4 linked regions of the Alligator mississippiensis genome follow. The main gene of each other region encodes a partner of the protein of the gene in region 3 in a complex. Links are inferred from orthologs where the notes say so. Each region holds a gene or a part of one and is shown on either strand. Other genes may lie near its edges. The genes, in order: DCP1A, PAK1, MAP3K5 and ARHGEF6.

Evidence for each region.
Region 1: MAP3K5 (region 3) and DCP1A share a complex: the UniProt entries of both Homo sapiens proteins name them as parts of the cytoplasmic complex. The link is inferred for Alligator mississippiensis from reciprocal best matches to the Homo sapiens genes MAP3K5 and DCP1A.
Region 2: MAP3K5 (region 3) and PAK1 share a complex: the UniProt entries of both Homo sapiens proteins name them as parts of the cytoplasmic complex. The link is inferred for Alligator mississippiensis from reciprocal best matches to the Homo sapiens genes MAP3K5 and PAK1.
Region 4: MAP3K5 (region 3) and ARHGEF6 share a complex: the UniProt entries of both Homo sapiens proteins name them as parts of the cytoplasmic complex. The link is inferred for Alligator mississippiensis from reciprocal best matches to the Homo sapiens genes MAP3K5 and ARHGEF6.

What each region holds. Positions count from the first base shown.
Region 1 is NC_081835.1:25,101,113-25,108,661, reverse strand, and holds the start of DCP1A (mRNA-decapping enzyme 1A), read right to left. Parts: upstream 3,007-7,549; 5' UTR 2,881-3,006; coding exon 2,746-2,880; intron 1,514-2,745; coding exon 1,473-1,513; intron 1-1,472. UniProt on the Homo sapiens protein: Necessary for the degradation of mRNAs, both in normal mRNA turnover and in nonsense-mediated mRNA decay. Removes the 7-methyl guanine cap structure from mRNA molecules, yielding a 5'-phosphorylated mRNA fragment and 7m-GDP.
Region 2 is NC_081824.1:471,028,186-471,035,230, forward strand, and holds the start of PAK1 (serine/threonine-protein kinase PAK 1), read right to left. Parts: upstream 3,009-7,045; 5' UTR 2,905-3,008; intron 2,719-2,904; exon of another isoform or gene 2,439-2,718; intron 1-2,438. UniProt on the Homo sapiens protein: Protein kinase involved in intracellular signaling pathways downstream of integrins and receptor-type kinases that plays an important role in cytoskeleton dynamics, in cell adhesion, migration, proliferation, apoptosis, mitosis, and in vesicle-mediated transport processes.
Region 3 is NC_081824.1:118,877,665-118,885,162, reverse strand, and holds the start of MAP3K5 (mitogen-activated protein kinase kinase kinase 5), read left to right. Parts: upstream 1-4,483; 5' UTR 4,484-4,582; coding exon 4,583-4,850; intron 4,851-7,498. UniProt on the Homo sapiens protein: Serine/threonine kinase which acts as an essential component of the MAP kinase signal transduction pathway. Plays an important role in the cascades of cellular responses evoked by changes in the environment.
Region 4 is NC_081831.1:79,759,799-79,766,640, reverse strand, and holds the start of ARHGEF6 (rho guanine nucleotide exchange factor 6), read right to left. Parts: upstream 3,009-6,842; 5' UTR 2,944-3,008; coding exon 2,779-2,943; intron 1,580-2,778; coding exon 1,496-1,579; intron 1-1,495. UniProt on the Homo sapiens protein: Acts as a RAC1 guanine nucleotide exchange factor (GEF).

The sequences.
Region 1 (7,549 bases), on a different chromosome or scaffold from region 3:
TTCATCAAGGGGGGGCTTATACCTCTACTTGGTGGGCTCTGGCCCCTGTTGCAGAATGTCACATCAAAAGGCCCAATGTTTTCAAGTCAAATTTACCCCTACCTTAAACAGGTACAGTTCCATTAAAATCTAGAATAAGAGTTCAGAGCAGACCTGTAAAGGGAGAGTTCTTCCTTCTGAATTACTTTTCCCCTAACCCCGAGTATAGTTCCTTAAAAAAAAACAAAACAAAAAAAACAAAAAAAACCTAAAGAAAAACTGCTTTAACAAATAGTATAAAAGATATTCTGTGTAAGATTTGCTCTGGACTCAAATTTGAAAACAAAACCAATCAATCAATCTCAAGACAAAGGCTGTATCTTTGTCCCCTTAAAATTCTTAATCACATGAACACTATAAGCATGCTTAGCCATGCCGTTAAAACGTACTGTACAAGTAACACTGTAGCACTAGGACGGCTCTTTTTTTTTTGTCATGTTATGGGGCATTCGGGGGGGGGGGGGGAGGAGAGGGAGGCAGGTTGGGAATCAAGCGTAAATCTACTCTATTCTTATCAGATGTGATTAACTGTTTGAAAGGTTAACCTTTCAACAGCACCATGGCCACATCCTGTTAAAGTTTAAGAAAGTGAAATGCAAACTTTCCTGAGAGGGCCAAACATGCTAATCTCAAGATTTAAATATACACAGTACTTATTTTACTATCATGAATAGCTTCAAATAAAATATTTAGACCTGCAACCAGTAGTAAAAAATTATTCAATTTGCTTGAGTGCTCATAGTATTGGGATGCAAGTGAAGTCCATGAAAACTAAGTATATAAACCACTTGACCACGTGATTATCAAATAAAATACTAAATGGTGGCTGTCTCTCAGGAAGGGTGGATTCATTCCCATTTCTTACATACAATGGAACAATGAAAGGCTGCAAACTTACTGATTTGCTTTTGGGGTAGGTCTAAATCATTGGTTATATTTACATTAACTCTTACTAAAAAGAAGTATTTGGCCATGTTGCTCAAGGTCACTCAATAACCTCATCAAAAACACCCAAAACTGTTCATACATAAACTAGCGGCTTTTAAATTGTATGGACTTAAAAATTATATAAATTATGCTAACGTTTATCATCTGGAATTTCTGAACTACAAGAAGGGGAGAAAGCCTCATCAATTGAGTCACTTACGGCACAGAAGAATATACTAGTTAGTGAATGATCATGCACTACCAAAATAGCCCAATTAAAATTTTCCACTTCTATGTAATTGTGTGTCAAGACTGCTCCTGAAAAATCTTCTGTTCTTTTTGTAGGAATTGTGCTTAGGTGCTACATTTCTTTTTTGAAAAAGAATTAGCTGGAGATTATTTTTTTCTGGACAACAGAAACCAGTATAGCTGGAAAGTTAAACATGACTGAAGATCAACAAAACAGTTATATACAAAAAAATATATTTTTACATAAAATACCTTACCTTCTGTATACGAACAAGGTACCTTCTATGTCAGTCTTCTCCTACAACAGACAGCAATGATTTATTTCAACTATATGTCTGCTTACAGAGTTACGCAGCTTGCTGACTAAAATCATGATAAACTGATTCCACCTTCTCAAAAGGGACAGAGTATAATTCTCTTGCATTTCACATATCTGCCTAAAACTATTAGGCAACATGTGGTTATATACATCATTTGGCCTGCATGAACAATATTATTCCCTTGTTAGTAATAAGTAGTATCCTGCAATTCCCTCGTGTGCAAACCAAACGGGCAAAGGAAAAATTCAGAGTTTTCCTTGGAAATCCCATTTTAGGGCAGACAAGGATACATTTAACTCCACAAACAACCAGAAGAATACACACTGTCTTGTAAGAAGACCTAAATGACAATTCGCACATAACTGCTGTCAAGTCAGCATACCGTTTGTTCTCTCCTAGTCATTCACAGATATCTCGTTCTACTCATTCATCACGACTTTGCTTTAAACCAGGGATAGGAAACCCCCAATGCGTGCCAGAGTGTAGCACGTGAAGGCATTTTGCTTGGCACGCGTGCTTGTGGGCAAAGGGGCCAGGTGTGCACAGCCACAACAAGGACTGGGCCCCGGGCGGCGCCCACACTCTCCCTCCCTGGCACACCAACATCTCACCAACCGAGGTTACAGGTGTTTGGGGCACTTTGCCCAAAAACGCTGCTGACCCCTGCTTTAAACACTAAAAGTTAATTAAAAGAAAACCTCACTGTGGCCCCCCCCCCCCCCGCAAAAGAAGGGCTTTCACAAGAGCCTGTTCCTAACTGAGCACTCGTGTGTATGAAGCTACACTTGCTTCAGCGGAGGTGGGCAGGGGCGGGTGGGGGTCTGGAAAGGAAGAGGCACAAGCCCGCCAGCTCCAGCCTCTAACTGTGAACCTCTGTAACTTCAGCAGAAACTCTGAGCGCCAGCTCACATCGCTCATTTCTGCTCGGGAAACGCAGAGGGCACCGAGAGTTTCTCCTCTCCACCTTCCTGGGGGGAGCGCCTGCCCCCGCGGAGACACGCGTCTCCAACGCCTTCCCCCGGCCACCAGCCCCGCGGCTGTCAGCAGCGGCCGCTGCACGGGCAGGCGGCGCCGGCACTCGAGGAAAAGGCTGTTTCCCTCGAGACGAAGGTCCCCGCCTCGTGGGCCCGGGGGAGCCGCCGGAGCCCCAGGCTGCTGGCGCAGGGCCCCGCGCAGGACGGGCACGACGCGGCCCCGGGCCCGCACGTACCCACTCGTTGGCCTTGGGGCTGAAGCTGTAGAGCGCGACCTGGCCCGTGACGTCGGCGATGCTGGTGATGTAGGGGTCGTGCTGCTTTAAGGCCGCCAGGCTCATCTCCTGCCCCGCTCGGCTCAGCGCCTCCATCTTGGATCGCGGGAGGAGCCGCGGGCGGCGGCGAGACCTGAGCGCGGAGCCACCGCGCAGCCGTCCGCCGCGCGCGCGCCCCGCGCCTTCCGTTCCGCCCAGCTTCGTTCCGCCCGGCCCCTCGGGCTGCTTCACGGCCAGCCCGGGGCCTGTCCCGCGGGAATTAGAGCCCGGCCCGGGGGGTGAACATGTCCACACCGGGACTCAGTCGTGTTGAACGCGGTGCTTCTTCGTGAGCAGGATCTGGTGGGCAGCGAGGAGGAGCCCGGAGATGCGAGGGCAAAGGGCTCCTGCCACCTCCTTGGCCAAGGGCCGAGCTCGTTCCTAAGGGACGAGGAAGGGGAGCCCTGCGCCACTACGGATTTAAACAACCCGTGTAGCATCTCCCCAGGTTGTCGCAGCACCGCACCAGGTATTCGCCAGGTGGTATTCAGTTGTCCCCTCGCCGCTTTCATTTTCTCCTCTCATAAAATCGGAGTTCAGTAAATCTCTCTTTTTTCTGCCTTTTTTAAAAGAAGCTCGCAAACTAGTAAGTGCTTGCAAAGCGAGGGATTTTGAGACGTGGTCTGGGGTCTGTTCGACAGTACAGGAGTCTGCTCCTGTGCAGTAAAATCCCAATTCGTTCATGTTTTGCTTTCTGAAGGTAAAAGTTGATTCATGTTTTCCGTTAGCAATAGCCTAACTCCGGTTCGTTTCTTTACTTTCCCCCAGGATCCTCGTATGCGTTGGCATCTTATCCTTATTACTGTTATGAGCTGAGATGCTGCCCATGAGCGACAAGCTACCTCTGTCCCACTTACACCACCTGGGTATTGAACACAATCTACCTTTCTGGTCACATAACTGATTATTGCTGCTAAAGTCATTGCCGAGTGGACTTCCCTATTACACAGCTTGTATTACATTAGATCAAATATAGTTGTTTAATAGGACTTGGTCTATCTGGGTGGGTATTGAACATTTTGGACACTTTTTTTTTTTTACAATATTGAATATTAGAAAAAATATACTAACAGATGGAGCTTTCTCTCAGATTCCAGCTCCACCAAAAATCTCTCGTAGTACCAGCAGCACTACAGACTCTGTTGGGTTTCCCTGCAGTGACACTTTTGTCTGTCCAGCAGGATCTGTTGTGGCTCCAGCAAGGAGGGGTTTTCCTCTTCAAGGTTAATTGCTTTCCAACTGGTGCACAGCCAATATGGAGATGTGAGGGTGAAGGAGGCAGCAGGTAGGTGCCCCAGGGCCATGTCAACAGCAAAGTGAATGGACAGAATGAGGGCACAGCAGGTGAAGTCCTCTTTATTCTGCCCTCAGACTCTTCCCTGGAGCTTGTTCTACTGAAGAGATGTGCAGGTCATCCTGTCAGTCTTTCCTTCTCATGCTACCATGGATAAAATCATCCGTCTCACTGAACCGTGTTGAAATAAAAGCTGTTGTAACTATTTGTACTAAAATACGCTATTGTTTTAATTAATATTTGCCATATGTAGACAGTGCCTCTAGCAGACACAAAACTGGAGCCTCACCTGATTTACCTTCAGTAAAATTGTGCCAGATGAATACCACTGGTTCATAGGAAAATGTTTACCAGTAGTTGGTCTCCACTCATTGGTGACACGTAGGGGGTACACGTGTGTCCCCTGAGATTGGCGGTGCGTCCCCTGAGATTGGCGGTACACCCCCTGACAGAATTAGTGTACTGTGCATTAGCATCACTAAAAAGGTGTGCACTGGCACTACAGCGCAGTAGCACCAGTTACTGTGTATTCAGTTAGTACCTGTTATTACAGGTACTACACTTAATGTGCCTTACCTATGGCACATTAATGCACATGTAGATGTGCCCAATCTTCTCTTCTCTAAACAAAATAAGCCCAGTTCCCTCAGTCTCTTCTCATAAGTCATGTACCCCAGCCCCCTCACCCTTCTTGTTGCCCTCCACTAGACTCTCTCCAATTTGTCTGTACTCTTTCTGTAATGGGGGGCCCAAAACCGGACACAGTAAACTCCAGATGTGGCCTCACCAGTGTTGGATAGAGGGGAAGAATCACTTCCCTTGGTTTGCTGGCAACACCTACCAATGCAGCCCAGTATGGCATTAGCCTTCTTGGCAACAAGGGCACACTGTTGGCTGTAACTCCCAGGTCCTTTTCTGTAGTGTTTGCCTACCTGAACAAGAAACTTCTCTCTCCAGATGCTCCAGGAGTCTTATATTTCTCAAAAAGGGTAAGTGAAAGTCAGTGGCTTGTTGAAGGGACAGGCAGCATGACAAGAACAGGCTCATCCATCCAAGAACCACAGTATTCTTTCTTCATCCTTTTTATTAGCTGGCACAGTGTAGGTCTAAGTGCAGTAACTTCAATAGGAGCTTCCCATGTCCATCCAGTGGTACCTATGATGAGATAAAATGTTGAATGAGAAATGCAAGTATGAAAAAGCAAAAATATTTGAAAAATTACAGTAGAACGTGAATTATCCACACACTGTTTATCTAACTGCATGCTGTGCTGCCAACCTCTGGTGCATGGTACAAGTGAGAATAATGGCATTGAATAGAAAGAGAACTGTTTTAATGACAGGAAAAACTGAAATAATCCACAAACTGGAAAAGGCAATTCTGATGCCAGGCTTGCTTCAGAGAATGGCACTGGTGTGTGTTCATTTAGTGTGTTTCATTAGCCAAACAACTGGATTTTATGAACAATGTTTGGGTCCAATTAGTTTGGATAATTGACTCTCCTTTGTATTTTAAAAGGAAGTTAATAAGTCTTTTATTTGAGACTGAAAGAAAGAGAAACACCATTCCAAAATCCTTTTAGATTTTGCATCTAAACAGTGTTTCTAATAGCTGCACTAAACAGGCTCTTGTTTTTCACAACAGGCTCAAATAAACCTCTAAAACAAATGTATCTTTTAGATAAATGTAATGAACTGATCTTGAAAAGGGGCAGGTTTCTGCTGTGTCAGATCTTGTCAAATGTGAAAGTTCCTTTGCTGCATTTTGAATTGAAAGCAAAATGTGAAGAGATAACAAAACCAAGTGCCAGTTTCTGTTAATGACTTCTTTTCCTCCTCCATCCTCTAATTCCAGTTCCACTGTCAGAGAGTTTGTTTTCCTTGTTCACTGCTGCTGATTCATTATTTCAGAAATAAATGGTATGGCCTCCCATATGCCTCCTGACCCCTGAAGTATACAGCATGCGGGTAGCCTCAAACTTTGACATTTGCGTGAATGAAATGTTAGTTTTCTTGTGCTAGGCTTGCTCAGTGACTGATGTGTATTGCAAATGCCTTTTGTTTTCTCTTGCATTTTGAAGCAGTTAGTGTAGGGAAAATGTTCGCTTCTCGTATACTTCTGGTTCGTGCAGTAAGACACTCCTGTTGAAGTGGTACAGTGTTTACAATGACCTTTTGATATTTTCAGTTTAAGTTAGACAGACTTCATTTGTGCTTCAACAAATTAAGTGAGTTACATTCTGCATTTCAGTTATTCAGTAGTGGTTTTATAGTACAGAAGAACACTGAGTGCTACATTGTATGTACTCTACATACATTAACATTAAAACAGGCCAAGTGGTAGTGATTCATCTCTTCCATCAATGGCTTGCTGTTGTCAGGGGAGGCTTTCTCCATTGTTTGCCTACTTACCTATCTGGAGCTCATTCTATGTAGTTTTACTTCTACCTGCCCCCACCCTTGTCACTACCTTTTCCAGAACAGATTATTTAAATAGCTTCCAAAGTTTTTTGCTTGTCTGGCAACTCCACTTCAGAGTTCAGGTAGGAAGAACATTCTTCAGTTTGTAGTCGTTTTGGGCACCTATACATGTGATGAAGCTCTGCTCCGATGCATGTTAATTAGCACATATTGGAGCAGACTCCATTAATTGAGTCTGTTGCGAGTCTGCTGGAGCGTGCTAATTAGCACGCTCCAGCAGCCTCCGCGTCAGGTGTAGTCAGCGTCCCTGTATTTCAAAGTTATGGCAGGGGCACTTTAAATCTCGTTGAACAAGCTTTAGTTAAATTGTCTTTGCTGCCATTTTGAAGCGTGAGCATTGAATACACAGATGCTGAAGGCACTTTAATTAGAGCGGATCTCAGAGACGCTCTAATTAAAGCACCTTTCCCCCCACCCCAGAGCACTTGTATAGATGCCCTTTAATATTTCCCCTGGCTGACTGAGTAGCAGCAGCAAAGAATTCAGTGTTTTTGTTAAGATGTTAGAGAAACTAACTGAGCACACCCAGTAAAATCTCATGTCATGCTTAAAAGCCTCACTGCTCTATGTAGGATATGAAAAGTAAATGGGGCTAGATCAGGGGTGGGCAATTATTTTGGGCAGAGGGCCGCTTACTGAGTTTCGGCAAGCCATCGAGGGCCGCATGACAAGCAGCCCAGGGCAGATTAATATTAATTTTCTAAATTTTTTAGGGGCCCCACGGACTGGATAGAATGGCCTGGTGGGCTGCATCTGGCCTCTGGGTCACATTTTGCCTGCCCCTGGACTAGATAGTGGCAAGTAAAATGGAACCAGCAATCGCAGAGACAAATTTGAATGACAGGTAGTGAATGTTCTCCACTTTTCTATCTGAAATAATGGTCACAAGTCCTACCACTCCCGGATGTTTTGCTTGCAGTGGATCTCTTTCTCAATATGGCCTATCTTTCTT
Region 2 (7,045 bases), about 350 Mb from region 3:
ATCTTATTAGAGATTTTTGCAAAAGAAATCACCTCCACCTTGAGTTCTGGTTCCTTTTCCCTCTAGACCAGGCCGGCTACAACCTGGAGACCTTTTCCCATCTTTAACTTGCCCTGAGCCTGATGAAGGGCGTGTGAGCCCAAAAGCTTGCAGAAAAAAGATCATTTTCTTTGCATTTTCTCACTTCGTGTAATAAAAGGTATCATCTCCGAACCAAGAGTTCTAGATTTTTGCATTTTTCCCCAATCTAGCTTCTTTTTTTTTTTTAAAGAAAGGTCAGCAATGCCACCAGCAACAGAAAGAACAGCTCAATGAAGTCTTTGCTATAGCCTTTGGGGGATTTGTTTTTTATGTCAACTACACTGATTTCTCAGCAGTGATTCATCCACGTAACTGGAGAAACTGGTCTTGCACTTAAGGCACTGAACTGGAACTCAAAAGACTCCCAGCTCTGCAACCAACCAACCTACTGTGTAAATTCAAGGAAGTCACTTCCTCTCTACAACTCAGGTTTCCCATCTGTTTAAAAAAAATACACCTTTCTCCCATCCTCTCTGGTCCTTTTAACCTTTGTACTCAGGGAACCCAACTACATATTGTTCTGCACAGCTGCTAGTCCAAACCACACCTCTCCTCCCAGGGCAGGTTGCAAGTGTTTACTGTTAATAACTTCAGATTAAGAAATAAAACTGGGTGAATTTACACTGTTGCCTCCTTTTGACCTGGTTTATTTTTTTTCTAGGTAGACACAAGACACACAGCACTGGCAGACAGGAGGAGACAGTTGTGTTAGCTTTTAAAACCAAAACCACCAGGCCTAATTCATCACTGTTTATTCCACTCTCCCACCCGTCTAACACCCTTGATTTCAGTGTTACATCAGCCCAGAAGCAGAGCGAGGGAGTGGTACGTCAGGTCCAAAGAGCACAGGCTGTATGAGAAAAGAAACCATCCAAGAAGGTTATTGTTTAACCTGCATGCCAGATTAGATGGAAAGATCAAAAAGGAGCTGGATAGCTTCAATAACCAAAACCAAAACATTTGGAGCTCCAGATCACACAATCAGTCCAAAACCTGGATGATTATCGTGAGCATATTGTAACAGGCCTGCAAAACCATGTGGGACACCACAGTGCCTCCCAAAAGAAAGCATTTCATCCAAACAACTTCTGCAACATGCACGTTCCCACCCCCAGAAAAAAAATGAGATAACATTTAAAAATAAAGGAACTTACAGTCCTACATGAACCACAAACCTCTGTGACTAAACTTGAGACCATTTCTCCTTCTCATGTCCTTCCTGGACACGCTCAGTTTAGACTGAGTTTTCTGGGACAAGGCCCAATGAGACCCAAACACAGGAGCCTGGCGGATGCCCAGTTGAGGGGCTGTTATCAGCTGTGGTGTGGTCACCAGGAACAAAAAATACACCATATGATATCAAGTAAATAGGAGGAATGGTTAATATCGTGACCCTTTGGGTCACATGGTTGGACTGCATTTAAAACAGATAAAAGTAAACATGCCAAAATGCATGTTCATCTAATGCAGTCAATTAATTGCAAGGAAAAATGTTCAGGCCCCTCGTGGTGTGGGAAATTCAAGTCTTTCGGTTCACATTTTCTCTCTTGCTACATTTTCCCCTCTTGCAATGTAACGTCACACACAATATTCACCAAGAAGGTATTTCAGCTGGTCAGCAAGCTGGCTACCGTCCTCATTCAGCAAGATTGGTTTCTTCCTCAAACTTATTTTTGGGGTTGATTTCAAAGTCATTTATAGGAGAGGTAGTTTTAGCATCCCACTTGCAATCTCTGGTCTCCCCACGGGGTTCAAACGTGCCAATTATCCACCTCGCTGTCACCCTCCATCCCTGAACTTCAGCATTTCTCGCCTTGTGTGGACAGAAGGCGAAGTTCTGTCTCAGTAAAAAGCAAAAGTAATCGATGCTGGAACGGCAGCGTTACGATTCTCCTGGTTTCCAGCTCCCTCCTCTGCAGGAAAATCATTCCTACTCCTACAAAGAACCGGCACCAAGCGAAGAGAGGATTATAACAAAGTCCTCTCAGGGGACCCAGGCTAAGATGAGCCCAAAGCCTCTTTCCGAGCCCAGCCATGAAAGGTAAGAATGAGTGGCCTCAGCTCCCAAAGTCACCACGGATCTGCTTTACCTTGCGGGCTGAGATCTAATACATCACAAAGCTCCCAAAGCATAAAAAAGACATTCAGAGTAAAGGCACACGCAAAGGATGGGACAGAGGCGAATGCTAATATGCAACCTTTTGAGTCCCAGGGAAAAGGACAAGACTTTCTTCCTCTTGTGCTCTGACTTGCTGAAAACCAGACGCACGCCTCTCCCCACAACACCCGCTCTTCTCTCACTGTTCAGCCATGGCTAAAACACACCCATTCCGCCTTATTACACCTGTAGGACCTACCTCTTCGGTCTGGCACTTGGGGAAGCCCGCTTGCCTCAGCTGAGACAAGGCAGCGGCTCTCAGCAGCACTGGGGTACCAGCCCCAGGTGGCAGGGTGGGATGAAGGATGCAAAAACCACCATTTGCACAGTCAGCGGATGGGGCCAGCTGGCACTGCCACGGGCACGGGCTGGGCTGCTACGCTTTTCAGCTCCTGGTGCGACCCCAGAGCTTTTTTTTTGGCTCGCTGCTTTTGCTTTTTTCGTTGACCGCGGAGCCGCGCGAGAGCAATTCTGCAGCTAAGGAACGTGCGAGCCGGGGCAGAGGTGCGGGTCGCGGCCGCAGGGGCGGGGGAGCGCCCGGCGCCGCGCAGGCGGATGCTGCGGGAGCATCGGGGCTGCGCGGGGAGAGCCGGAGGAGGCGGCTCCCAAACTTCAGCTCCTCCCGAGCCCCGGGGCTGCATGCGGGGAAGGGGACCGGCACTCACCTCCTGCTGCTGCCGCCGCTGCAAGGTGCTGCCCGGCCGCGGCTGCTTGCAGGCTCCGGCTCCGGCTCCGGCTCCAGCCCCTGGGCGAGCCGTGCCCGCCTCCCGCTCCGCCTCCGGGCCGCGGGGTGCGAGCTCCTCCCCGCAGCCCCGGGCGAAGGAGCCGGGCTGCGACCTCCCCGGCGCCCTGCCGCTCCTCCGCACACGGGCTGGGGCTTCCCCGGGACAGGAGGGACAGGGCAAGGGGCTGAGTGACCCCAAGGGATGCTCACTGCTTCTCCCACCAGGCACCGCAGCATGCCAAGGACCACCAGCCCACTCCAACGTGGGCAGCTCTTTGCCGCCTGGGCATGAGCCGCTTGTTGCCCCCCAGCTTCCCCTTTAGCCTGGACTCGGGCTTGGAGGACAGGGACGAGCGAGGGGGTTTGGGGCAGAGTTTGCTTGGCTCAGGGGTGGTGATGTTTGTTTGGCTGAAAATGCCTATAAGATGTCGGCGTGCCAGGGCAGGGAGCCGATGTTGTAGCAGGGCAGCCCCCAGACCCTTCCCTGCCGTCTGCCCTGAGATGAGCGTGCCAAGCAAAATGCCTTGCAGCCTGGCACCCGTGCTGGGGGCTGCCTACCCCTGCTGGAGGCTGCAAGGGAAGGGGTGGAAGAGCTGGGGTGAGGTGTTGGCGCTGGACAGAGCTTGCACCAAACAGATGGGGAGCACGGACAGCTCAGCTCGCTGCATGGGCAAAGCATAGGCAGGAGCCTGCGGCAGCCCAGCTGTGAGCTCGGAGGAGAGCAAGCTTGCCTGGCAGTGGAGATACCGTGCTGATAGTCCTGGCCCATATGTACCTGGCAGGGGAGATCCCCTTCTTCCTGGCCTTGAGCAACTTGGCGCTGTTGAGAGTGGAGACCCACCCATTGCACTGGGGTAGGCTCCCCTGCAAGAGTCTGCTAAGCCCTCCCAATGGGAAGATCTCAGCGACATAATTTATGGTGAAGGGGATTGCTCTTGGGCTTTCCCTCTAGCTTGCTCCTTTGGCCTTTTAGCTAGGGGCGAGCACATCAAGGGGCATCTGAATGCCAAGGCTTGGGGCTTGTACGTAGGACACCTACCATGGATTTGGGAGCATCTGAAGCCCCAGGGGCTGAAAAGTCTGGGAGGAAGGAGACTTGCCTGTGGTAGCACTGCACAGACTTGAACAATTGAGCTCTGCTCAACTGATTTGGCTGCTTTGGCCCGAGACACAAGATTAAAAAAGAAAAGGAGAACAATAAGGATACTCGATGGTATGAAGAAGCCAGGCCTGGTGCATTCAGAAAAGAGACGTTGGAGCGGGGACGTGAGGAGGGTTTACCAAATTCCAAACAGCAAAGAGGAAGTAAATAAGGATGCGTTCACTGTTGACTCTCTTGCAATACTAGAACCAGGGGTCACCACATAAGGTGAGTAGTTAATTTAAAACTAGCACAAGGAAGTTCTTTTTCACCCAGTGTCACGAAGGTGGGCAACTCATTGCTGCCGGATGCAGGGGAAGCCGACAGTTTGGCCAGGTTCAAAAAGGGATTGGACACGTTCTCGGAGGAAAGGGGCATCGGCAGCTATTGAGCATGGGAGTTAGGGGCACAGCCTCTGACCCCGAACTTCCTAGACCAGCGGTGCTCAATGTTTTTTGTTCAGTAGGCTAGATGGGAGCCTCCGTGGGCCAGATCTGGTGGTGTTGCAGTGGGGCCCTATCTCTCCATGTGAAGGGGCAGCTGGCTCCCCAGAGGAGCAAAGGGGGCTTGAGCTGGCCGCTCAGGGGCAGCAGGAGAGAGCGCATGGCCTGGACTTGATCCAGCCTAGGAAGGGGGAAGAGGGTGTGTTCCAGCCCCAATTTGCCACACAGGGCTTAGGGTCTGGGAATCTGGCAGAGGGGAGGAGCAGCCATATTAATTGTCACCACTCCCTTGCCGCCAGATCCCCCAACCTGTGGGGAGCCCTGTGGGCTGGATACCAGGCTCCATGGGTCAAACTTGGCCTGCCGGCCAGAGGTGGAACACCCCTGTCCTAGATCTGAAATGCTGGAGGCTGCAAGTGAGAGAGGACCAGTGTTCAGCCCCGGTTTGCTCTCCCTTTCAGCATCCGCTGTCTGCCCCTGTGTGACACAGGACACGGGGCAACTAGATGGCAGTTCTTATGTAGTGGTGCAGGCACGATTCACAAGATAAACCCAGAGATTTCAAATGGGGATCTCTAGTGTGAAAACCTTTCTGGCCTGCTGCATGCCCTCTGAGTTCTTTGCAAGGCAAGGGTTGCGCTAATATTTTTCTGTAGCTGAAAAACAAGTGACAGCTAAGAGCTGACATTTTCCAAGGGGTGCTTCGAGCCTATGGAGGGGGCCTCATGTCTGAACTGGGCTAGAGGGAGTCTGAGGGCAAAAAATTAGCACTTTCCAGAATTGATTGTTCTTTCCCACCTTGTTTGAACCCAGTGACCATCTGCCCTTAGACAGGGAGGCAGAGATTCAAGGGTGGTTCTGGTCTGAGAAGTAGCAGTGTGACTGGCACCTTATTCCAGGGCCCTGTTCCCATGGGCAAATCCTGTCAATAAAGGGGTGCAAATGGTCAGGTGCATCATCACATATAAAAGAGTGCATATTTTTCTCATGGTTTTGCCACCTAGCTGATCAGGAACAAGTAGCAAAGCTGCTGGGGTCCCTCTGCCAGTAAGTATGGGGAGGGGAGGAGTGTACGGCTGCCCCGTACGCTATCATGATGGGAGAGGCCACAGCGGCTGCTAATGGAGCAGCACTGGTGATAAATACCACAGGACTGAGAGGTTTGATGGAGAAACTCAGTGTAGATATGTCCTAGCTGATTTGTCTGAAGCCAAATGCAAAAGGAAGAATTGCATACACTAGGAATAACTTCTTCCTACACTTCCTCTAAAGCAGAAGTACTTTGGGGGAAAATGTATGAGAGTCCTAGTACTTGAAAAATATTTCTGGAACTAAGGTAGGGCTAAATTTGTCATTAAAATGATGCATCAGACAACATCTGTGACATGTCCTGATTTTTAAAAAACTTTTCTGACCTTTCTCTTGTGCATTTTCACAATTCTCTTCTCCCAATGGCTGTCCTTGCTTCTTTCACCTCCTGACTCCTGCAGGGATAACAGACAAATCTGGCAACCCAATTTCCCACAAATACACACATGTCTATTCTTGAATTGGGAACTATGCAAGGAGCAATGGTGCTATGACATTTTTATCAAGAGGAAGTGGCAACAGCATTTTACATCTTGGTATTTAGGCAGGCATTGGTAAGGACTGGGCATGGTATTATATACCCTGACCTTAAATGTCGAAAGAGCTGGGAAAACTGGAAGCACCTCATGCCCCCAGGAAAAGGGAATGAGCCACCTCAGCAGAATGGCTTCCTGCAAATGCTTTGCCTAAATGCTGAATTTAGGACACTAAATTCAGTGTCCTAACTCAGCAAGGTTTCATATAAGATCCCTGTTGCTTTGGCAGGAATGTGAGTGACCTCAACGCCAAAGACAGATTTCTTTTCTCCTTCCCCGTTTTCTTGTGAAGTGCCTGAGACAGATAACTCGGTTCTAATGAGACAGTTTACCAAGCAAGTCAATTCAACATGAACTGCTCCAAATTGATGTAGAGAGCATCTGTGCTGCATGGTGGCGACAATTTAGCGAAGGCAAGATCTATACTTAGTTCTTGTACCACTTGAACACTGCCTTAGTACAGAAGCAGTCATTCCGGTAAAAGATGCTTGTGCCTGTATAGCTTCGGAGAATAGCTGCATCCAAACTAGGAGGCTGTCCTACTTAATTATATCAGTTTCTAACAACTGTGGGAAGAGCAACCCTCACTCAACCTAGAAACGGATTTATTTCAACCTGTGCAATTCTTGCCAGTGCTAGTAGATCATGGCTAAGGAAATAAAAGGGGCACAAAGTCATTTCCCCCCTTTTCTTAGTTGCCTCTGAGAGACCACGTCAAAGTACTTCCAAATTTATAGACTATTATTCTATTCTATTCTTGCTATTATTAAGAGATTATAACAGATATAGCAATCATTTGAGTCCCCTTGTAGGACTCAGAAAACCCTCTGTTTTCTGAATCTAGTCAAACATTATCTGTCTTTGATCCTAACT
Region 3 (7,498 bases):
CTGATGATTCTGTTTTAAGTAATTGTTTTTCCTCGCTTGGGACCTGACCCAAAGCCCATTTTAAAAAAAGATTGGTTCAGGCCCAGGTATTGTTTCAAGATCTCCCAGTCATCTTGGTTTCCCATATCCATAATTTTTTATCTTTCTGCTTTTAATGGACCAGACTGGACTGTGCTTCTGCATACTCTTTCACTGCTTGTTAGAGGAGACATTACAATAGTTGAACTTCTTTTCATTCCAAAACATTTAGAGAAAATAATTTAAAGAGAGGTATGTCTACTGTACCTACCTTTATATAAGATGTTTAGTTTACAAATGTGGGAACTCATATGCGAAATACCATTTATTTAACTCTAAGCTGATTATTACTAGCTTACATAGATAAACCAAGTTCTTGAATTAATACATTCTGCCAAGACATAGAAATGGTGGATTTATGCGCCATAGCCTTATATAACCTTAGACATAATATGTCATTCTTAATTAGAACAGTTCTCTTTGGAGATGCAGAGAATTTAGGACCCCATTTTGGACTATTTATTGAAGGAATTCAAAAATTCTATTATGCCAATATTTGAGTTCTAATCCTTTCAAGATGACACTTTAAAAGTGAGTCCAGGTGTTTGGTCCAGAGCATGAAAATGTCATCTATTTAGTGCAAATATAGTACTGGTTTGGTGTTGCAATTTTGTGAAAACTCCTTTTCCAGGTAGCTTATGATACTGGGGAGCCATCCTTGTGCCCATGTCTGCACCCATGGTTTCGAGGAAGTGTTGGTTATTTCAGGTGAAGTTGGTATGAGTAAGGGTGCAATGGATGATTTGCACAATATGTTGCGGTTGCAGATCTAAGTCTGGTCCGTTTTCCTGAAGGTATTTTAGGCAGGCAACTGTGCTTTCATGGTGTAGGGTGTCACCTTTAGCATTTTTCTTCCTGAAACAGTCAATTTAGTAGTCCAATGTGTGGTCCTGTTGGCTGGGAGGTGTCCAGTCAGATGTTTTGTTGTTGGTTTTGTTAATCTATTGAGGCAGAAGAGTTGTCAGAAATAGTTCTGTCTTGGTTGTAAAGGTATTCTTTTGTGTGAAGTCTGCAAAAAATTCTTCTAATTCTCCACATATTAATATCTTGGAGCTATTTTCTGGAGAGATAGCATGCTTATTTTTTAAATCTTTCTTTAGCAAGAAAAACAAAAAATAAAATTAAAAATGAATATATAATATTAACAGCACAAGTCTTTGTATTATAGTAGTATTTACTGCCTGATCAGAAATCAAGGCTCCTTTATGTTAGTGCCAAAAAAAATCCCACACACAAAGAGAGAACTGCTGACATGACAATTTTACCGTCTTAGTAGTCAAGAAGAGTTTTGCTACTGATTTAAATCAGTGCAGAAGCAACCCCAAGCTTGGGCAAGTTGATTACATGCAAATTATCTGTACTGACTATATTAATTTTAAGGCATTTAGGGAACAAGATAATGAGTTTATTTTTCCATGAACAGTTATTTTTGGAGAAAGAAAAAGAACACATGAACTATTGTATACAGCAAGTTATGTATATTTTTTCTATAGTGAAATAAAATAATCCTCTATATTGCCTAATATAGGCCCCAATCTAGAAGGGCACCTCAGTACATAATTAATAGTATTGAAGTTACCTCAAGAAAGTAACAGGGTGGAAGGCAGGAACCTCCCTTATAAAGTATATATCCTAATTGTATGCACTGTATATATTGAATAATTTGTAATTGCTTCAATTAACTTAGGGCTTGATCCCACTAGCACTGTAGGGATGCAGCCAGATACCTGGAGCAAAACAAAAGGGGTGACTTCTGGTTTGTGAATGTGCAAGTGCCAGCAGCAGCTACTTTTTGTTTGCTCTCCCCCCAATTTGGCACTGGAGGCAGTTGCACCTATTGCCTCTTCTACCCCATAGTTATACCACTGGATCCCACTTCCAAAGTCAGTAGAAAAAATCCTTAGAGCCCAATCCAAATTCCATTAACCTCATACAATATTAATACTGAAGTCTGCACTGCCCTGTGGGTAAAAAAAACACATGTATTTTCCTCCTCCTCAAAGGCAATTATTTCCTTTAACATCTGATGAATATGTACTGTTCTTGAGCACAACACCACACAAGCATGTTGTTTTGGTTTCTTGAAATGTGACATATCTGCAGTGGTGGGTGGATTTGCATGACAGCTATGATTCTGCATGACAGCTTTGTATTTTGTGCTTTTGTGCTCCTTTAAAAACAAGTCAGTACGTATCATTTTTGACCATCACACAAACTAAAAATCTGTTGTATGCTGTAGATTAGATGACAATTAATTTTCCTGTGGTTGTTCTACACTTGTTTATCACATACAAAATTGAAGGCCAATTATAAATTAAGTGTGAATAAGTCAGGTGTGATTTTGATGGTTCTTGGAGGAAGTACCGGTTGTTTCAAGTGAAGTTGTTATGGGTGAGGATGAAATGGATGATTTGTGCAGTGTGTTGTGGTTGCTGAGGGTAGTTTGAAGGTATTTTAGGCAGGCATCTGTACATTCCTGGTGTACTTCTACAGGTTTACTTCTAACTAGAACAATAAAGTATTTGTACTTAGGGTAAGCAATGAAAGCAGATTCATCAGCTTCATTTCAGTTAGGGTGAGTTTCAGGTCTTGGCTCCCTTGCATGTGTGTGTTGCAATGTTTGGGGCTGCCAACATGGCACAGGAATGCCTGCCTGACCTCCAAGCACAAAGACATTTTTCAAAGGGGCAGGTTGCAACCTGATGATGCTGAATCCTAGCTATTTCGTTAGAAATGTTATTGGCCACAGAGCCCTACATGCCAGGCCTAAACACAGCTGTCCCTTGCAAGTGAGTCTCTGCAAAGTATTCAACAGCGTGTGCTGCTCTCTGGAAAATAAGTCTCCTTGTTCCTCACATCTGAGGGCTCTTGACAGAGGATGAGCTGTACCTGCAGCTCATGGGTGAGAGAGCTATATGCCTGAAGTACAAACAAGGGGCAAGGTTGTTTCAAGGTTGCCCAGGGCTGCCAGGAGGCTCGCCAGGGTGCTGCTTGAACCAGCAAGGTTATCTACAAACAAGGGGCAAGGTTATCTCAGGGTAATATCTTTTATTGGACAGACTGTGTAGCTGAGATCAAGTTAGACAAGGTTTAGACAAGGTGTGTTGTGGCATGTAAGACACTCCTCCTCAGGTCTCAGGGAGAGGAAGAATAGCTCAGGGAACTCTGAGGAAGAATGTCTTAGGTTGGAAACCATGTCCAACTTTATCCCACCTACGCAGCTGGGCCAATAACAGATATCACCCTACAAAATCCTTGCCTCTTGCATAATTTCTGGATCATTATGGCTACAACATTGCTCTGACACTGAAGTACACATATGCCTCTCTCCTTCCCCTTCCCCACTAACAGCTGGAGATGGGTGCTGGTCTCCAGGTAGTACCTGTGCCCCGCAGCAAGGAGGGATTGCCAGGATCTCTAGGAAGGCAGACCCTTTTCCTCAGTGCTGGCAGATGACAGAACAAGGAGCAACGGTCTGAAGCTGAAGCAAGGGAAGTTTAGGTTAGATATTAGGAAGAATTTTCTCGCTTGGAGGGTAGCAAAACACTGGAGCAGGTTATCCAGAGAGGTTGTGGACTCTCCATTCTTGGAGGTTTTAAAGACAGGGCTAGACAAAGCCTTGGCTGGGATGATCTAGTTTGGGGAGGGTCCTGCTTTAAGCAGGAGGTCGGACTAAATCAGTGGTTCTTAACCCTTTTTGTACCAGGACCCTTTTATAAACGTCCACGACCAGTCCCGACCTAGCTAGCGCCCCTCACTCCCAACCTGCTGCCCCCAGGCCCCCAGTATGTGGGGGGGAGGGGGGACGTGGGGCATGTGGAGCCCTAAGCAGCCCCTCACAGTCGAGGACTCTGCCAGCCTGCAAGGGAAAAGCCTCAGTTCCCCATGTTTTTCTCCTTTAAAGCAGGGCTGGACAATGCATGGGCAAAACTCGCGGGGGCCTGAAAACGGTAATTAAAAAAATTATTATTATTATTATCATCTCTGGCAAAGGGGGGCCCGATGCTCAGGGCTGTCCCTAGAGGGGTGAACTGGGGTGATTTGCCCGGGGCCCCGCACGCTGCTCGGGTCGGCTCTGCCGATACTACAAGTTTGCCCAGGGCTGCCAGGAGGCTCGCCAGGGCACTGCTTGAACCGAGAATCCGTTTCGCAAGTTTGTTTGCGACACTTCCATGTATTCTTGCCACCCACTTTTGGGTCACGACCCACGCGTTGAGACACACGGGACTAGACGACCTCCCGAGGGCCCTGCCAATCCCATCTTCTATGGCAGTCAGGGGCAGGGGGAGTCAAAGGAGGGGGCAGAAGCAGGGGCCAAGGCACCAGAGACGAGAGGCGGCAAAGAAGGGCCGAGCGGGAAGGCGGCCCCGCGCAGCCGGGGCGGAGCTGGGGCGGGGCGGTCCTGCTGAGCCGCGAGCAGGCAGCGGCGCCGCGGGCTGCGGCGGGGACTGACAGCCGGGGCCAGCCCGGGACATGGCACGGGCACGGGCCTGAGCCCGGCGCCATGAGCGACAGCAGCGAAGGGGGCCTCAGCTTCGCCGTGCCCAGCCCCCCGGCCGGCGCGGAGGCGGGCGGCGGGGGCAGCCGCGAGGCCGGCGGGCGGCGCACGGCCGTGGTTTATGTGATCAACGAGGGCGGCGGGCCGGCGGAGAGCGGCGCCCTGCAGAGCCTGCGGGAGGCGTGCGAGGCGGTGGGCGCCGCCCTGGACGCGCTGCACTTCGCCAAGCTGGACTTCGGCGAGACGGCAGTGCTGGACCGCTTCTACAGCGCCGGTGAGTCCGCCCGCCGGCCCGCCCGGGCACGTGGCGCCCCCGACCCTGGCCGTGGCCCCGCGTCGGGGCGCCCTCCCCCGCCTCCAAGCACCTCCTCTCCCCGGCGGCTGATTTTTCATAGCTTGCATAGACATTCGGGCTGGAAGGGACCCAATAATCTCACAAGGTCCCTTCCAGCCTTCAACTTCTGTGAATCTGTGCCCCCAAGAGCCTGCTGGGGATGCTGCCACAGGTAGCAGCTTGCGGACAGGGTTGCTACGCCAAGAAATACTTGTCAGCAAACTCTCTTTACTGACAACCAAACATTGTTTACTTTAATTGGCATTTGCCTCCTCAGTGTGAACCCAGCCTTCGTCCAGGGCTTGGTGGAGGGGTTGCATTGACATTGTGTAAAACAGTGGTCACCAACCAGTGAATCTCAATCCACCGGGAGATCTCGGAGCCTCTTGGAGTCGATCTGAGGCTGGGATTGGGGGCTGAGTGCCACACCATGTTAGCACTGTCAGATGTGCAAATGTCATTCTCAGGCTAAGCCTGGAGATTTCAGGCAGGAAGCCACAGTGCTGAAGACATCCTGCCCTGTTGTGGTCTTTCTGAGTTCTTTGCAACAGAAGAACTGATCTGTTTGTTTTCCACAGTCAAAAAAAAAAAAAAAGGAGTGAAAACTAAGACCTGGCATTTTCTGAGGGGTGCCTTGAGTCTAGAAAGGTTACAAACCACTGCTGTATTATCTTACCATAGCCAAAAAATGAGTGAAAGCAAAGAGCCTGCATTTTCCAAGGGGTGCCTCGAGTCCAACAAGGGGTGCTTTGAATCTAGAAAGGTTGGGAGCCACTGGACTAAACAGAGCTCTGTCTGGGTTGTAAATTAGCTGGCAGGAAAATCCCTCCGCCCCCCCCCCCCCCTTTCCTCCCATTCAGCTGCATTCTTAGTGGCAAAACTGAAGCTATTTGACTTGCAGGCAGTGCCTATGCCGGGCACTCTGGTATGGTTAGTCTGGCTCCATTGACAAAAAGACCTGCCGTATTCAAGTAAAGCAAAGCAGGGTTATGGGGGGAGTAGCAGCAGTTTATCAGATTCTTAAGGAATCTACTCTGTTACTGAAAATAGACAGCATCTGAAATCAAGCATATCCTGGATGGGTGGTATGCCATTTATACAGCTTGCTCCCTTTTCCTCTCTGTTCCTTTGACACTGTGGAAGTCCCACCACATTGGCTGGAGTAGAGTGTATGACCTCCTGATCTTACAGCTGTTAGAAGTGCTGTGCTATTACATCCTAATAGGAAGGCAAAGAGGTTCCATTTTTTGGATTTTTGTGTACAGATGAAGGGACTCTGCAGGACTCAGAGTCTGCCACGCTGGAGTGGGTGAAATGTTAGATCTTCTGATCAGTATCTCGGCTTATAGAAATATCTGTGAACATCTGCCATTGTGGCTGCCTGTGGCACGTTCAGTTTCCTCTCAGCTTCATGCCTCTAAGATAAATTGCCTTGGTCAGGGCTTAAATTACAGATAATATTAGGATAAGCTTCAGTAGCTTAGAGAAGTGTTTCTTGCACATGGAGATCAGACCTGATGGTGGGCCCCTCCAGTTCTGGCAGTCAGAACTTTGGCACATAACACTGCATAACTGAAAGCTTATGCAATGCAACATTACTTCAGTGGCTTTTCAGCAAGTTGTGGAAATGTAAAAATCTAGCATTTTCTAAACACTATCTATGTGGATTTAACCCCAAGTATTACAAAATTAGGCAAACTATCTTGTCATTCTGCTTCTGTAAAATAGCAAGATTCATCAAAGTACAAGGCTAAAATAAGAGAAACTTACAGCCCTATGGCTAATTGGAAGAACATATAGGGAGCAGACACTGCTTGTGCTGTAGAAGCCAAGTGCTACTCGCATGGCTGTGCAATTTTAGCCTAGTGTGATTAAAATAGTGCATATTTCAGCACAGCCCTACTATTTAGTAGTACCTGTCTAGGAGTAAATGAGAGATGACTGGGAGAGTCCACAAGCAGAGTCCTAGGTAGTGGCCTGCTGAGAAGTACCTTTTACCCCTTGGACAACATCCAGACTTTTTGGAGTGTCTTCTTGGACATAAGGCCAAATGTTTGAAGGTCTAGTTGTTGGCCCTACTGCACTTAGTTTTTTCCAAATAGCATGCAACTCACAAGGTTAGTGACAGTTCTTCACAGTAATGTGTGGCAAAACTATGAGCAACAGCAGAGGGATGAGTACAGTCTTATCTGCATTCAGAAAGACAAAATAGCAGTATTCTCATTTGTATTGTATCTTTGCAAATCATGAAGGTGATTTAAAGAAAACAAAATCCAAAAAACAAGAATTTTAAATTCTGCAGACATGTATGGCTTGGATCCCCTCCCTGCTTCCCTGTGTAGCAAACAGATTTTTTGAAGACCTCACTTCCTACTGTAAAATCAGCTGAAGGAAAAAGAAGCATTAGAGAAGTGAAAGATGGCAGTTTAAGTCTCTGACATATCATATTAGTTTATATGCAGTTTTGATCTTTTTCTTTTATGATATTCTTTGGTACTCCAAATGCATTTGTTAAACGGAAATGAAAGAGTTGTCCCTGGTTGCAGCCTAATCTTTGTTCTTGTTTGTAATGGTGTGCCAAGCACTTC
Region 4 (6,842 bases), on a different chromosome or scaffold from region 3:
GTTACCAAACCCTCTCAAGATCACGAGTTGCTTTCAAAAACCTCATGATTTTTCAGCCAAACAACACCTTCTGGGTTCTTTCCCCTTGCTTGATGGATGCTTTTGAGCCTGCAGCATTCATATGTTATTCGAGCTTTTTTCTCCCACATGCTAAAACTCTGATTTGTATTTTTTTTAAATGAGAGCTGAAACACCCCGGTCATCACACGACTCCAGCAGCTGGGGATTTCAAAGAAAATATCGACCGTCACCAAGAATCAGGATAAAAAAAAAAATCAGAACTGGCAAACGCTGCCTCCATGCCCCGATCAGGTTTCTTTTGGCTTCAACGAGCAAATATATTTGCTCTGAAAACTAAGCTGTTGCAGCCGGCAGCAGGTTTCCGGCACCAGATTGCTGGGAAACAACAGGTTGAGGAGACAGTTTTGGAAATAACAGAGCTGCCTGCTCGTCAGCTGAGTAAGGGCTTTGACAAGCAAACAACTCTCCTTACACAATGTAAAGCTTCAGGTGAAAAGCAGCAGCACCGGCTGGGTCTTCTCCTTTCCCCCTGGAGTCCACGATTCGTTCCCGGTAACAACTGTGGACGGTTATTGCCTGCACAGGAATTGAGCATTGCATTTTTTCCCCCCACCAAACCATTAGGAAGTCAGTGACGATTTTGAAAAACGACGGCTGCTTTCCGTGGGACGTTGCCGATGTGAAACACAACAGGGCTTTTCTTCATTAATGGCATTTTACACTAACTTGAGGGAGGCCGCGCAGCAGGAGCGAGCACACGCAGAACAGCTCCTGACTCATTTTCATACCCTGCGGCAGCTTGTTGTGTAAGAGCACACGCTAACACACAGTGTGCCTGCGTTTGGGCACAGGGACTGGCCTCGCTCGGTGACAGGAAGGCTTGGGGGTATACAAAGACCTCTTTCTTCTGTCCCTCCTCCCTTCCTTATGTCCTTTGGCAGGACTCGGGCTCTGTGTAAGAGTATGTGTGAGAGACGCAAATGTAGAAAGTTGCCCTACTGGGCTCACCCTTTGTGAAACGATCCTTTGCAAGGGAAGACACGGTATCAACCTACAACACTCCGACTGTTATCATCCGATGCAACTAGTTAACACGGGGCTGAAAACGGGGTGACCTCTCTCCCAACACTGAAAAAAATGATTCACCGGTCGGTCCAACCAGCTTACTAGCATGCATTAGGAAGACTGTCGTTATATTATTATACGTTCCTACTTCAGCGTTTTGCTTCGTGTCAGAGGCTTGAAGGGCAGTATGTTCAACTCCGAGGCATTATATATCCCATCGCTAAAACCTTGTGCAGAGTCCCTGTCCAGAATATTAAATGATCCAGGCTTTTATGCACGTTGCTAACGTAAGAGATTGACAGTAACTTCAGTTTCCTGGCACCTGGCCTCATTTAGGAATAATTACAAATCACACAATTAGTAGAGTGGGGAAAAAAAAAATATAATGGAGACTAATAGAATGACTTACCTCTACTTGCAGGACTGCACAGCTTTTCAAGAACTCCTGAATGTTTCCGATGCAATCCTCTTCATTTTTGGGCTCCAGACAATACTAAAGAAGCAAAACCCCCCACGGTTACTGTAGTACCTTCAGCGCGGTCTGCATGCTGGATGTTTGACATGTGTGTGATCTACGCCGAATTAGGGAAGCTTATTTAGGGGGAGGATGGGGGTGGCAGGCAAGCTGTCGAACCAGGAAGAAAGAGCCACTGGAGGAAGTGATGCATAAATCTAAATGGTCGGCATCTTGTTTTTGAATGTCAACATATGACAGTGCCCTAAGTGACAGCGAGAAGCTCATGACCTTTCAGAGCACGCTGCCCCAAAGCACCACGCATGCCATCAGAGGGGCACATCAGCCAACACAAGGGCCGCTTTCGAAATAAAAAGTTCCCGTTTTGTAAGGAGGAAGGAACATATTGTTTTTGAGCCTTTTACTAAACAGCCTTTTTTCTGCGTGGCCATTTCTTTAGCTCTGATCGGGATCCTTCCTCTTTTCCCCCTTGCAATTATTTGTTGCCGATTTAGACTGCCTGTTTATGTACCCAGGAAATGGATGTACTGATTAACAAGACATTTGAGACGGATTAACTCAATGTACTGAATTGGCTGAAAATGGCGGGGATGACAAGTGCTTTTATTTCTGTTCGAGTCTGGTTTTTTACCTGGTGGGGTACAGGAAAACAACACCACTGTGCTTCTTTACGTAGTTGCACAGCTGTATTTACCTAGTTGTATTTAAAGCTCAAGTATTCATCGTCTGCATTATTTACATTGTGCTTCTCGAGCAGGGTGCTGCAGCACCCCGGACTGCCATAAGATCCTTTGGAGGGTGCCAAGGGATGCTGGACAATATTAGCACCGTCAGATGTAATAAATGGAGTTTTTTAGGAAGATCGATCAAGCTAAAATGGACTTCTGGTAGATTAAACGTTTCCACTTTAAAAATGGAAGAGCCCACATAAGGCAACCGACTCGAGCGTAACTGCAAGTCACACGCACAATATTGTTGCCTGATTTTGCCCAACAGAATAACTTATCAGCCAATCAAAGACGATCATTGGGTCACAAGATAAAATACCCGAGTCCCTCTGAAACAGGCCTTCAACCCCAGAAAAGTAAAAGCCAAAATGCACGGCACCTCCTGCTAAAGTAGACCACTCCGGGTCCACCAAGACGGGTCCTGCAGCTGCGCTGCGCCGCTGCTGTAGTAGGAAGTGAGCAAGGGGTTATATGAGCGAGGTCGGTTACCTTTTCCACAGATCCCGGAAGAAGCCGATTACTCAACTTGCACAGCACGACCCCGTCTTTCAGGGAAGTTTTCAGGAATCCCTCTGGATCACTGATGATCTTTTTGGGGGAATTCAAAACTCCTAAGGAAATAAGCCATGTCACCGCTTGCTCTTCTGGGTTCATTGCTGACAATTCTGCCTCCAGTGCCGATCTTTTGTGCAGCAGTGAGGTCTAATCTAACCCACATCCGTGATTGCCTCTTCCTGCCTCTTCTGGGGCTTGCAGAGCTAAGGCTTGACACTTTTTTTTTATTTTGCATGGAAACCCACTGACTTCATGGCTTCCATACCAGATTAACCCCAGTTAAAGAAACATGCTGCGTCTTATAGTTTCTTGTACTTGGTGAGTTTGCTTAAATATACCGAAAGTAGATCTCTGCGTTACACATTTGCAGCATGGCAAGGCCTAAAGGTTCGATCTTGCTCTATTTACGTATTTCAACCACACCCATCAATGTATTATCTAAGTCAGTGGTTCTTAATTTCTCCAATATCCTTCTCTGAATTTAGCAACACCCCATGTCAGAAACTAATTTCACTTGTTTTTTAACTAATTGAAAAATAATACGGCAATTCTGCCACTGCAAAGAACTCAGAAAGACCGTGACAGGACAGGTTTTTGACCCTCTGGATTCTTATTTGAAGTCTCTGAGCTTATCTTGTATATCACGCAGGGATGTTTGATGTGTCGAACTGTGCTAATATTGTCCAGCATCCCCTGGCACCCTCCAAAGGATCGCATGGCACGCCAGGTGCTGCAGCACCCTGCTCGAGAAGCACAACCCTACTAAAGCGTGCAAGCGAGCAGCTCTGATGCATGTAACGACCCCTGGGACTAGTCTCACAAGTTGATACCAATGCAGCAGAACAGAATTAGACACGTGCTTAGGTCTGCGACCAACCAGAGCTATTGCTGGCACTTGAGAGGGAGAAAAACCAGAAAAAGGAAAAATCCTTGAAACTGTTTTACTTTTTCAACTTTGAAAATGTAACAAAAAGATTTCTAATATAGTTTAATACTAAAACTTTCATTTTCAAAATAATCTCTCGCTATATAGATATCAGTTTAGTCGCATTGTAAGATTTTTCCTTTCCAGATCCTGTATCATTTTTTTCAAATTTGACCATGAATAAAGGGGAAAAAAATGTTTTGTGGAAAAATTGTACAACAGTTAATAAGACAAAACTGCCTCATGACAGGTGTTCAAGAGGTTTCACCTAGCTCTTCAGGACACCGCTATATGAACCATAAAGACATACGGGTGTGAGATACTGCACTCAGTTCTGGATGACGATGTACGGTGTAATCACTCACTTATAAGCCAAGTGCAGACAGTTAGAAAGCCCGAGGCTGAATCGATGCAGCCGCTGCAGGTTAGTCTAAGCTGCATAGACTGGACTGATAAGTAAGTGAACAGACATGCACTTTTGATTCCTGAACTGCACCCACATGCCTGCACTGGCCCAGGCCAGAAGCTGGGGGGTGCTAGAGCACGCCTTCCTGCTTGGCTGGAGCAGATGCCAGGCCAAGGCTAGTCTGCCTACCCTGCAAGGTGGGGGGTTGAGGGGGAGATGCAAAGCATCCTGGGATGCTGGGGGACTGTAAATTAATTTGGTTCTGGGACAGAATTTAAATGAACCGGTTTAACCAAAATCAGTTCAGTCGGATGCTACACCCATCCGGGTTCATCTTAAACCGGTTTTGGCCGTTTTGAAAGTGGTTTACACGCACTGAATTTCTGTTTGTTGCACATCTGAATTGGTTTCCAATCACGTATACTGGTTTGTGTGTCATTTCTGTCCTAGCCTGTACAAAGAGCCCAACAGTGTAACTGCAGCTGTTATCACCCAAGACACTAATTTAGAAGCAGGCAGCTGGCCTTTCTTCTAATCTGTTCAAAACTGACCCATCTTGGCAGAGCTGAAACCCTAAATTACTTGCAGCAGCAAGCTCAGACTTCCGGATGATTGATAAGACATCTGGGGCAGTGGGGCTAGGAGCCAGCAAAGTTGCACAAGATAGTTGGGCCCGGGAACTCGGCTCCTTCCAATCAGTAACTCGACCCTCCACGTTGTATGTAACCCTGCTCTTCAGGAAGCAGGCCTCTGTAAAAATAGCTTTAGGTTACAGATTAGGAGCTGTAGGCCTATAGCTGGAGACGGGTATTTTCACATCATCACCTCTGGGGAACTATTCAGACATGGCTGAAAAATAACGGAGGACCCTACACAAAAATGTGGAGGCAGTTACATGAGCAGTTTTATGCGTGGAAGTTGTACTGTACCTCCTGGGTTGGCCGCGAGAACGCAGAAGCTGATCGTCAGACGGGGATGCTTACAGCTCAAGGGTTTAAACAGGCATTTACATACAGATGACATCAAGCAGATGCACTGGGCTATTTCCCTTCTCTGTCATTAGCTAAAGTGTTCTCAACTTCCCCCTGCTATTTAGGTGCTGCCCAAAGCCAGGACTAGGAAGCACCACTAAGAAACTCAAGGTTCCCATCCTGCAGTGACAAAGCTGCGCCCGCTTTTACATTTTTCAGGAAGGGCCGAGGTTTCCCCCAACACGTCCCCCATCTGCAACAGGCCTGTTATGATCATAGGAAAGTAAGGCTAGACGGGTCATCTAGTCCAGCCCCCTGCTCAGGACAGGGTCATCCTTGGCGAAACCATCCCAGTCAAGCGTTTGTCTAACCTGCTTTTGAAAATGTTCAGGGATGAAGATGTCACGGCCTCTCTGGCTGGCCTGTTTCAATGCAGGGTCACCAGGTTCTTCCTAATCTCCAACCTGAATGTCCTCTGCTGCAGCTTAAGGCCATTGCTCCTGGTCCTGTCCCCTACAGCCAGAGAACAGTCTGTCTCTACCCTCTGTAAAATCGCTCTTCAGGTACCTGAAGATTGCTATTAAATTCTCCAGACTAAATAACCCTCATTTTTTCAGCCTTCCCTCATGTTTCCCAAGCCCCTAATCATTTTTGGCACAGTCTGCTGGACTCTTTCCAGTCTGCTCACATCTTGCATGGGTCTCAAAATTGGGCACAGTACCCCAGGTAAGGCCTCCTCAGCACTGAGTGCAGCAGAAGGATCACTTCCCTTGATTTGCAAGTGACTCTCCTGTTAATATAACCCAGAATGCTGTTGGGTTTTTTTGCAACAAGGGCACACAAATTGCTCACATTCATCTTAGTGTCCACTGTAACCCCCAGGTCCTTCTCTACAGTGCTACAGTCCAGCTAGCCATTCCCGTCTGTACTTGGTGTGAAATAATTGCATGCACAAGTGCAGGATTTGGCACTTTTTGCTCAATTTCATTTGATTGATTCGTTCCTCCAATGTATCCAGGTCCTTCTGAATCCTAGCTCTGTGCTCCAAACGATTTGCAACTCCACCTAACTTGGGGTTGCTTGCAAATTTGGGAAAGGTGTATCCAATCCCATTATCCAAATTGTTAAGGGTGTTAATACCAGATGAACCCCTCTTGATAACCTCCTCCCCGCCAGAGCTGTTGATGACTGCTCACTGAATATCATAATCCAACCAGTTATGTATCCATCTTACAGTACTTTCAACTAGTCCATATTTCTTTAATTAACAAAAGTGTCATTAAAAAGTCTTGCTAAATAAAGTCGAGGGCTCTCCCACCCACAAAACGTCACCTTATCATAGAAGGAAATCAGGTTGGGTGGAGGAAGAGCAAGCCAAGCCAGCCTCCAGCTCTGAATGAGCACAACAGGAAGAGGCTGGAGAACAGCTGTCCAGCACTTCAAAGGCACCCCAACTGGGGTAGGCACAGCAGGAGACTCCCTTTTCACTGCGTGATCTTCCTTTAACAGAAGAAGCCTCATTTAATTGCTTACTGTGCTTTTTGCTCCCAAAGGGTATGCACCCTTGTGCTTTTAGGTATTATAGTTTTTAACAGCAGCAGCTCTAGAACCAGAAGCCAACACCTGTTGAGCACTCAGTAGGACAAGCCTCTCAGAGGACTTATGAGCTTCTAAGGTGCGACAAGCTGACCTTAAA